3 linked regions of the Tribolium castaneum genome follow. Each later gene encodes a partner of the first gene's protein in a complex. Links are inferred from orthologs where the notes say so. Each region holds a gene or a part of one and is shown on either strand. Other genes may lie near its edges.

The links.
Region 2: the proteins of cnk (region 1) and Dsor1 are in contact, whole or in part, in a cryo-EM structure (PDB 8BW9), measured with the Drosophila melanogaster proteins. The link is inferred for Tribolium castaneum from reciprocal best matches to the Drosophila melanogaster genes cnk and Dsor1. Residues at the interface, in NP_001286524.1 of Drosophila melanogaster: Arg46, Tyr48, Arg72, Tyr76, Thr92, Lys95, Asn96, Arg99, Arg103, His117, Arg121; in NP_511098.1 of Drosophila melanogaster: Arg200, Gln255, His258, Gln262, Tyr319, Val321, Asn322, Glu323, Pro324, Lys347, Gln348, Asp350, Glu351, Arg352, Ala353, Asp354, Lys356.
Region 3: the proteins of cnk (region 1) and ave are in contact, whole or in part, in a crystal structure (PDB 8BW8), measured with the Drosophila melanogaster proteins. The link is inferred for Tribolium castaneum from reciprocal best matches to the Drosophila melanogaster genes cnk and ave. Residues at the interface, in NP_001286524.1 of Drosophila melanogaster: Pro47, Glu51, Leu56, Arg57, Ile58, Gly59, His60, Gln61, Glu62, Leu65, Glu66, Glu69, Lys110, Ile111, Asp112, Thr113, Leu116, His117, Ile119, Thr120, Arg121, Ile123, Lys127, Val130, Glu134, Arg139, Arg145, Cys148, Gly149, Leu152; in NP_725413.1 of Drosophila melanogaster: Tyr24, Gln51, His52, Asp53, Ile54, Arg57, Ala58, Arg61, Ile62, Thr63, Ser66, Arg69, Met70, Glu79, Trp82, Arg83, Val86, Lys87, Arg89, Leu90, Lys91, Asp93, Ile94, Glu96, Ile97, Arg98, Met100, Glu101, Leu103, Asn104.

What each region holds. Positions count from the first base shown.
Region 1 is NC_087398.1:13,500,084-13,503,742, forward strand, and holds part of cnk (uncharacterized protein cnk), read right to left. Parts: intron 3,440-3,659; coding exon 3,225-3,439; intron 3,179-3,224; coding exon 2,374-3,178; intron 1-2,373.
Region 2 is NC_087403.1:8,130,098-8,134,463, forward strand, and holds the start of Dsor1 (dual specificity mitogen-activated protein kinase kinase dSOR1), read left to right. Parts: upstream 1-1,496; 5' UTR 1,497-1,858; coding exon 1,859-1,959; intron 1,960-2,004; coding exon 2,005-2,635; intron 2,636-4,366. UniProt on the Drosophila melanogaster protein: Required downstream of Raf in the sevenless (sev), torso (tor), and Drosophila EGF receptor homolog (DER) signal transduction pathways.
Region 3 is NC_087399.1:9,899,505-9,901,849, reverse strand, and holds ave (protein aveugle), read right to left. Parts: upstream 1,122-2,345; 5' UTR 1,073-1,121; coding exon 986-1,072; intron 931-985; coding exon 613-930; 3' UTR 571-612; downstream 1-570. Other genes in the region: myb/SANT-like DNA-binding domain-containing protein 4, read left to right, coding at 174-541; Sec31 (protein transport protein Sec31A), read right to left, coding at 1,240-1,500, 1,553-1,888. UniProt on the Drosophila melanogaster protein: Required for normal photoreceptor differentiation between Ras and Raf for EGFR signaling in the eye and for mitogen-activated protein kinase phosphorylation. Probably acts together with Cnk to promote Raf activation, perhaps by recruiting an activating kinase.

The sequences.
Region 1 (3,659 bases):
GTACTAAAACAAAGTTGTTCCAAAAAAATAATTTTTGTACGTTTGTCAGCCAGAAACGTAATTTGCGAAAATTACATAAAAACAAGCCGAAAATCAACAAATTATGCCGAAAATATTGTGGTTTTTAAGAAACAAAATTTTTCTCGGGAGTTTCGTTAAAACGGCCAAAAAATTACAAAATCTAACTATAACGTTTTAGTTAGTTTTAAAGCAACTACATACGACTATTTCGAGAAATTGTATGCACTCCTTTGAGCTAAAAATTCGAGATTGTGATAAGCCGGTTCAAAAAAACACTAAACCAAAGTTAAAATGACTGCCTTTTTTGTTTTTCTTCAAGGTTTTTAGCATATTGCTCAACCAGAAATGTAATTATTGCGAGGAACATTTAAAAAATCCAAAAATTAATCAACTTGTGTGTAACTTTTGGCCTTGTAAGTATGTAAGCAAGTTTTCTCGTGGGATCACTAAACCAAATTTCAAATGTATGTTACATTATTTGCCTTTTTCGAGCATCTTAATACGTTTTTCATTCAGAAACGCAATTATTTCGATGAATTTTCGTAAAAAACAAGCTGAACAATCGCCAAATTAGGTTGAAAATTGTTGAAAATCATAATTCATGACATAAAAACGTTTTTTGCATGATTTCTCTAAATACTAAACTAAAAATTGTTTTAAAACTTACTTTATTATTTTTGTCTTCAAAGCATTTTTTAGCATTTTTTTTTCAGCCAGATACAATTAAGTTAAAAATTGTATTTTTAAGTTTTTTAGAGTCTTAATAAATTAAGCATGTTTTTAAACCAAAAAACCCAATTTATTATTTCGAAATGCTTCGAAAAAAGACAAAAAATCTTTTTACTAGTTCTAGCGCCGGTATGTACTTTACCAAAAAAATGTAAATATTGCATGTTGTTTCCCGTTTTCATGATTTTAGCACAATTTTATGTTAGAAACCCAACTAATTCGAGAATCTTTGCAAATAAGAGCTGAAAATCGCCAAATTTGTTTAAAAAGGTGTTACTTTTGCCTTACTTAAGGGCTTAAGCTATCTTAAGCTATTTTTTTTTGAGGTAAAGACAAAACCGGACCAAAATTCACGAAATTAAACCAAAATTTACATTATATTTCTTTCACGACCATTTTAAAGGTTTTTTTAACCTGAAATCCAATAAAAAAAATAGATCCAAAATAAGCAGAAAAGTCACAAAATTAAATAAAAAATGCTGTAATAATAATTTTCACATTTTCAGGGGCTGTTCAGTTAAGATCACAGTCTTTTGTGAGATTTCGGAAAATTGTGTGAAAAATACTAAACAATTATTTTCACTTTCTTTTTCGAGTGTTTTACTAAAATTTTTCAAGAAAAATAGTCAAAAATAAGCTGTAAAATAACTGAACCAAAAATTTGACCGTAACTTTATTTTCTCCTTTTTCTTTAAACGTTTTACTCGTAGCACGCAATTTTGCACAAAATAATAATAAACAAATTTAAAAAAAATAAAATAAATAAATAAATAAATAAAAATAAATAAATAAATAAATAAAATAAAATAAAATTATCTTTATTTTTTCAAGTGCTTTAGAACGTTTTACAGAATTACTTCAAGTCTTCATAAATAATCCAAAAAATCCATTAAATTAGGTGAATATTGCCTTATGTTAGAACATCATACGTTTTTTAAGACAAAACATAGTTTTTCTGAGAACTTTCAATAAAAAGGACGAAACAGTTAAGTACATTATTTGTGCTTCATTCAAGTGTTTTAGCAGGTTTTTCAGCCATAAATGCAAATATCTCAAGTTATTTCGTCAAAAATAATCTAGAAAATCGTCAACTTGGTTGACAATAGGGTGCTTAGAGAGGTTACAGACGTTCACCACACGTTCTTGAGTTTAAAACTGAGTTTTCATAGAAATTTCGCTAAGCGAATTCAAATGTGCGATATGTTTCCTGTTTTTATACATTTTACCACAATTTTGTATTTTTTTCCGAAAAAAAATGTAAAAAAGCTGAATAATCGCCAAATTAGGTTGAAAATAGTGTTAGTTTTGCCATGTCTAATGCTGTAATTTTCACATCTTTTGTGCTTGTCCATTTAAGATCACAGTCTTATGTGAGCTTTCGGTAAACTGTGTAAAAAACACTACATAATTATTGTCACTTTTTTCAAGCGTTTTACTCGTTTTTCGAGAAAAATCGTCAAAAATAAGCCGTAAAATCGCTGAATTAAATTAAAATGGTGTTGCGTTTGGACTTTTTCAAGCGTTTTTGCGCTATATTTCATCATAAAACTAATAACTTACTTCGTTTTTCGTTTTTTTTCATGCGTTTTGGGGCGTTTTTGCAAAAAAATAAGAAAAACCTACCGTAGACAACATCCGGTTTGATCAAATTCAAATTCATGAAAACATCATCGGCCATATTGTACGGATTCAGTTTCTTCTCCTCGCTTTGCTTGATCATCAACTCCTCCAGCGTCACAAACCCGGCCAAATTTTCATTACATTGCTTGAACGTCTTCTTCGGAAAATTCGGGACGTGAAAATCGTTAATATTGCACAAACTTGGATTACTGGCATGGACATAATTCAGCGGTTTGACTTTGGATAATTTTCCCGAAGCCTTTTCCTGACCCTTACCCAAGTGTTCAACAGTCAAATTCGGAACACTCACGTTCTGAACCGACTGCTGAAACTGCGGTATTTCGGACCTGTGTGCAAAAAACGACGCCACATGCGATGTAAAATTGCCGGTGGTAACACTTCCGCTTGGAGTTTCCGTCGTTTTGATTTTTCGGTAAGAGCGGAACTGGGCGGTGGGCACCGGAAGTGAGTTTTTCGAATGACTGCTTGATTTATTGAAGAAGCGTTTCCGGTCCAAGCTCGTGCTGCCACCGGCTGCGTTTTCGTGTTTCTTGGTGAGCTTCTTCAAAGAGTTGAATTTTTTGATAGTTTCTGGGTTCTTCTCCGGTTCGGTTTTTTTGGGTTTTTCGGTGTCTGATTCGTCCGTTTCTGAGTAGAGGGAGCCGTCGGCTGTTTTGAGACTGTCGTTGTTGAGGGTGGCTGCGGTGATCGTCTCGATCCATGATTGGAGGGTTTCAGGATCTTCGGCTGAGAAGTAGAATACTGTGCCCGTGTGGTACACTTTGAAAGCGTTCGAGCGAGATTTCACCTTAATAATCATGTTAGAAATTAATAAAACTGCAAGGTTTTCTTACCTCGCTCGCCACAGCCACCGTAAACCCCGAGAGGAAAATAAGACACGCCGCTCTTGGATCTTCTTTTGTCTTGAAACCGTACAGACAACTACCTAACAAAACAAACCACCTTTTCTCCCAGTGGACGTTTTGGTTGTGTTTGCTTCGCAAGCGTTGGTACAAATACCCCTGAGTGTCGGGAGGGTTCAAATCGTTGACTGTTACTCTTCTCCGTTCTTAAAAAAAATTATTATAACTCTCAAACAAATAATAATAAGAAATACAAAAAAACGAACAGTTCGTATACATGAAATAAACGCATATTTATCTGAAATAAAAGAGTTTTCATGGAATGAAGTCACTTCCACTGTTGACGTAGATAAGGTCTATTCCAAATTAAATTCTGCTAGCAGTGTTTACTTATTAAATATTTTCCATTTAAAACCCTCTACACTT
Region 2 (4,366 bases), on another chromosome or scaffold:
TTTTTAACTTTAAAATTCGATATGAGAATTAAATTTCTTTTCGGAAACGAAGTTTCAATTCCAAAATTTTTCTCAATTATTTTTATTTCAAAAAAAGCTTAAAGTAAATAACTAAAATCTAAAATGTGTTTCGAAGATTTATATAATAAGTTGTAATGTATACAAAAGCGCGTAATTTCTTGCGTACACCGGCCGATCACATACTGCAATAAATACTGCATCTCCTAAACGGATAGAAATTTTATTTTGCGAATTATAGTGTAAAATCTTTATATTATAAGCTATTTTTTAAAATAAAAATAGTAGAAAAAGTTGTCCAAGTTACTAAAATTTGGATTTGAAACTTCACTTCTAGTTTTGTACAAAAAATTCAAATTCCAAAAATAATTTCAGCATTAAAAAGAACAGTAAATTTTCTAAACAAAAGCCCAACTTTAAATATCTTGTTGTGCATTAGTTATAAGAATATAAGTCAAAAATAAGTCTCATATAAAAAATCATTATGTATTTAGATTAACAATCATTCTTTCTAGAAAACCAATTATTCCGAATATGACCGAATCTTAGGTTGTAAATTTTTTTTTGGTTGTCTGCTTCAAGTAAAATGCCTCAAATAATAAGAAAGGGTAAAAAAATTTTTAAAAGGTCATATGCATAGAGAATAAAAATAAAATATTTAATTGCAAACGCTGGTTTTTGTGTTTTGAACCACTACTTTTAGTAGACACCTTCTATTTTTTTTAATAATTATTATAATTTTTTAATTTTGAAACTTAAACATAAAAATATAAGCAAAAAAACACACAAGAACAAAAAATAAAGCCTTTTGTGTCAAATTATCAATCACTGCTTTATTATTTCCAATAGAAACGACATCCAAGAAAATAAAATCTTCCTGTCTAAGATTTTTTTGAAAAATGATCCATAGCAAGAGACAGGTGATTATGGTGGCATCAGGTTCTTATAAAAGAGGTTGTACTGTAGTTACCACACATGTACAGGATTAAATATTTTGTAAAGCTGGTACGAAAAATTGTAATTATGCATGACTGACTGTATCTAAACTAAATAAAACACACACTTGAATTGAACCGAATTTTTCTCACTCCTCCATTATCCCAAAATTAATTAATACAATCGAACAGGGCGGACATTTGGCTCAATTCGTGTATCTATGGTATGAATTTTTAATGTTGCGGTTTTGATGACGCTGCATACATTTATTATTCAATTTATAATACTATATCACATAAAATTCCCTTCTTTGGTACCGAATAATTACTTATCAATTATTTATCCTCTCATAAAATCTGTTCTATCACATTTTGAATATATAATTTCAGCCGGCGTTCTAGTGCCACCTTGTACCAAAAGCACCAACGATATATTAGGCACTAAAGGGTGTTGCAACTAGGAATGCGCAGTGTGGTATCGCAAACACAGGTGGCGCTATACAAGTTACGTAACAACAAAAACTGTTTTATTATTATTTTATTTATTGCAACTATTTTGCTAAGTTTATAAATAAAAATTTGTAGCAATAACAATAATAACATTGAATTATAAGAACGGTGCGAGCGCCACCCGTGTCACTCCAGCGAACTACATAATTGACTGATGTCAGATGTTTTCTTTACTTGTGTTTTTTTCTTTATTTACGTAAAAACAATAAGTGTAACATAAAAACAGTCAAAACACAACCACTGGTTACAATGTTCGCGGTTGCAGTCTCTTCGCTAAACCAAAAATAATTCTAAAAAGTTGGTAGATAATGTTGATATTTTGAGGCTTTTTATCTATGGGTGTCAACGTCCCTTCCGTTAATTAATCAGTGATACAAGTGTAATATTTGGGAGAGATGTCGAAGAACAAGCTAAACCTGACCCTCCCCCCGGGTTCGCTGGACCAAACCCCCACGGTGACCCCCACAAGTGCGCCGTTTCCGGACGCCGCAGCCCCGTAAGTGTCTTTTCCGTGCGTTTCGAAACTGGAGGGCAGTTTCAGGTCGAACAACGTCGGGGGCTCCAGCATCGACAACCTAACGGCCCGGATCGAGGGCTTGGAGATGGACGCCACGCAGAGGAGGCGCATTGAGGTGTTCCTGTGCCAGAAGGAGAAAATCGGGGGTGATTTGAGCGACGACGATTTGGAAAAACTGGGCGAGTTGGGGTCGGGGAACGGCGGCGTCGTTATTAAAGTCCGCCATAAATCCGGGCTCATCATGGCCCGGAAATTAATCCACTTGGAGGTGAAACAGGCGATCAAACTCCAGATAATTCGCGAATTGAAAGTCTTGCACGAGTGCAATTTCGCGCACATTGTGGGCTTCTACGGCGCGTTTTACAGCGATGGGGAGATCAGCATCTGTATGGAGTATATGGACGCTGGGTCTTTAGACTTAATTCTTAAAAAAGCCGGACGGATTCCCGAAAATATACTCGGGAAGATTACCGTTGCGGTTTTGAAGGGGCTGAGCTACTTGAGGGATAAACACGCGATTATGCACCGCGATGTTAAGCCCAGTAATATACTCATTAATAGTAGCGGCGAGATCAAGATTTGTGATTTTGGGGTCTCGGGACAACTTATAGACTCGATGGCGAACTCTTTCGTCGGAACGAGAAGCTACATGTCGGTAAGATATCACAAAGTGTTACAAACAAGAAAAAAGCTGTCACCAGAATAAATACTTGTCAATCTACCACCAAAATCTTATAAAACTCTTATGAAAGCTTTATTAAATTTTAATTCGTTGTTGAACGTTAACAACGCAAATACACCAATGAAATTGGTTTAATTTGGTCACGTGATCAGTTAATCACGCATTTAATTGCAGATTATCTTAATGACGCTTCTATAAACGGGTCCTTAGTTATTAAAGATGAAAAGATGTGTTAAAGTTTTTGAAAATCGACATAGTTTTGCACTAAAAAATAAAATTACATAATTGTTTTATCTCAAATTAACGTAAAACATATCGAATGTTATATTTTGTCACCCAATTAAATGAATAATTAATTATCGTAATTTATGTCGGATCAGATAAACTTTTATATTCGGAGAATAACTAGCTTTACTTAATTTCCAGACTGTAAGAATTTGTATTACTTAGGAGTAATGCACTTTTTTTAGAAAGAATACGTTTCTTACTCACTTGTTATATATATACTAAACAGAATATTATATTATTGAGATTATAAGTAAAACTTTATGGGCTAAGGTTAAGGCTGGTTAAGGCTGAGCCGTGCAATATATGCAATTTTTTCTCCAAATGTTATATAATATAATTAATGCATTTTGTCTCATAAAATTAATGGATCATTTAAGAAAATAATACAATATGTAATAATCTAAATTTCTTGTTTGGATGCCAATTCACCAAATCAAAAAAATAAATAAATAATTGCGAAATGTCTGAATGATATCTGCCGGCAAATTACGCATTGTTTGGTGAAATAGTAGTGTTTTAAGTTATTCAGAATGCGACGAATTGTACTTTTAATGTTAATTAGTAAATATTGTTATTATTAGGCTAAATTGAGTAAAATAAGCTTGCTTTTTTACAGGTTTTAAATAGTAATCATAAACAGCTAAATGAAATACGTCAAAATATCAAAATAACTCACTTTAAAGAATATGTTAGAATAAATTGAATTTTTTTTAAGTAACGTCAACTTTCGTTAAAAAATTAATTTTGTCAAATTTAGAACTAAATTAGTCTGCCAAAAGTATTGTTTTTACTTCATCTCAAAAACTAATGATCACAGAGAATTCTGAGTTTGCTATTAAATAGTTAATGGTTATTTCTATCTATAAATTTTTTTACAAGACTTAATATTAAGCCGTTGAAAAAAATAGTTTTTATACCTTAATGCAAACGGTGCTTAAATATTGTTTTGTGCAAAAATACGTAGAAAATTCACGTTATTTTGGAGCTTAACAACATTTTATTGTGAATGATATGGAATCTGAAGAACTTTGCACGCTTAGAGAAAAAATAAGGAATTAAAGCAAACGCTGATTATTATTAGTTCTTGAAATATAGGAAAAAAATTTTTCAGCAGATTCATCTTGCAAATTATCATTTACAAAATGATGATATCTGACGTTCAACGAAAAAAAAAAACATTTTTTAAATAAGTTAAACAATTTTTTAACGTAAGAACATTGTTTTTAAATAAATTTTTTGTTATAATTATTTCATGTAATATCACTGCCAGTAAGGTAACAAAACTAATGTAAACTAGGTAAGTAAAATACATGCTAAATAATTAATAACAAAAGATACGTAATAATGCTAAACATTACATTACATTACATCAACAATACTTGTTGATAAATAAGACCTTTTTGAACCTATTTTATG
Region 3 (2,345 bases), on another chromosome or scaffold:
TGAAGTTTTTAATAATTTGTACAAATTCTATAATCGCTAATATGTTTAAACTAATTTATTAGAAGAGAAAACGAGGGTTCATTCGAAATAAATTTATTTTTCAATTGACATTTTGTGATAAAATTAAAAAGTACAAACTTGACAAAAAACAAGCTTACCAACCTTAATTCCAGACGTTAATCAAGTCCTGAAGGAGCTTCTCGAGGTCCAAAAGGAGAATCTGGACATCGAGCGCCAACGCCTGGAACTGGAAAAACAGAGGCTCGAATTTGAGCGCTTTGTTGGTTCCCAATTACTGGCAATGGGCCCATTTATTGGAAATTTGTTCCATCGATTTGCATTTCCGACCGAAGATATGACAGAAAACGAGAAAAATAACAGCCGAAAGAGGCAAAGTAGTTGTGATATTGACCTTTTGAAGGATAGTAAAATTTTGAAGACTCTGCTGAGTGAGGGGCTGAAGAAGTACATTGTGAGTGAGGATGAGAACGACGACAGTGGGATTCACAATGATGACAACAGCAACAGCAGCAGTAAATAATTTGTTCGTTTCATTCCAATAACATTCCGTTAATTATTTATTTAATTTATTTGTATAGAATTACAATAAAGTCAAGCTATTGAGTATTCATAAAACATATTGTTTGTGTTGCGCCGCTGCAAGTCCCGAATTTCCATTATGTCGGTTTTTAACCGGAGTTTTAAAATTTCGCGCCAAATTGCCTCACGGTGGTCCACATCCGTTATCCCCAGTCGGAGCAAAGAATTATCATTTATTCGCAATAATGTGCGTCCTGTTACATCATTTTGGATGAATTTATCGACATAAAGGGCATAGTAGTCGGTGCAGTGCCTCCGGAGCCACTTTTGTACGTCTACCACCGTCCACGAATACACCGACTTGGGTTTATTGTAATTAACCGCTTTGAGCTGCAATTAATTGTTTAAAACCGGCGAATGGCTGTGTTAATTGGTTAATTCCTACCTTTGGTTTGTTTATATTATTTAAAGTTTCTTCCACCATCTTGCTTGTCAAACTGACAGGTTGTGACCAACCGCAATACCAACCCATCAAGCAAAAACTCCAATTTATTTAAAACAGAGCGCCACTTTGAAATAAAACACCAACTTGCATTTGTTATATTTTATTTAAAAAAGCGCCAGCTTATATATTTGATTATATCCAACTATCAATAGAAAAAAATAAACATCTAAAACAAAATAATACATGGTTAGACCTTATCTTAAATAAACTTGCAATTGTAAAGCGCACTGTAACAAAACTTTAAGCCCGGGCATAAAACTGGCAATTTGAGCGAAATCAGGCCCTGACACTAGCTGAGTGTGTAAATTCAGTCCTCCTGTATAATCTCCGTTTTGCACCAACTGTACCATTTGATGTAACGCTCCTAAAGTGTTGGGTGACAGTTTCTGTTCCCTTAACAAATCATACAACGACTCTAACTTTCGGCCAACATCCTCCAATTTTCGCTTGGTTTGCTATAAAAAATGCGATTAAAACAACTTCAAATTGTTGTGTTAAATAAAATACCGGATTATTAGCCGCACAACTGCACTGATATTTCAACTCGTCAAAAACGGTTTGCATGTGTATGTGTTCTTCGGGAATTGGTGGTTTTTGAATTGGTTGTGGTTTCTCTGGAACCACAGGAGTTTGGTTTTGGACCTGGTTAAAATTGACCGCATTTGACTTAAAACCAGTCGGATTGAACGTAGTAGGCGGTGTGAAATTGTTAGGTGGGGCAAAATTATTAGTTGGCTGTGGTTGGAACATTTGTGGTTCGGTTCCGTAACCGTTGTTGGTGGGCGCCGACCCATACAATGGGTGCGTTATGGGTTGAGATGGGACGGATGCCTCTGGTTTGGGCTGAAAAATCACAATTTATGGTTATTTGTTGTATGACACTTCCGTGATCTACAAGGTTAGTAGTATTTATGCATCAAAATTTGAACCTCAAAAAAAACGAAATATTACTTTCTACTGATTAGGGGTTTTTGCACAATCATTTTGAAATGACTTGAGCAAATATTATAAAATTGGTACAGTTGCTTAGAAGCATACATATTTTGACAAAAACCTGACAAATCGACTCAAGTTTTCAGTTACCGCTTTTCCAAGTAAGATTTTTATTCCGGATTTTGCTCCTTTAATGCTCATTTTTATTGCTAAAGTCTCTTTAAGTTGCTACTTTAATTTAAACTGAGGCTTCTACGAAACCAAAACCAAAAAGTATGAATTTTAAGTAAACAATATCCTTTGCAATAGAAGTGTTTTTGCACTAATACCGCTGACAGCACTTCATCCTCCTAACATAAGACATTAC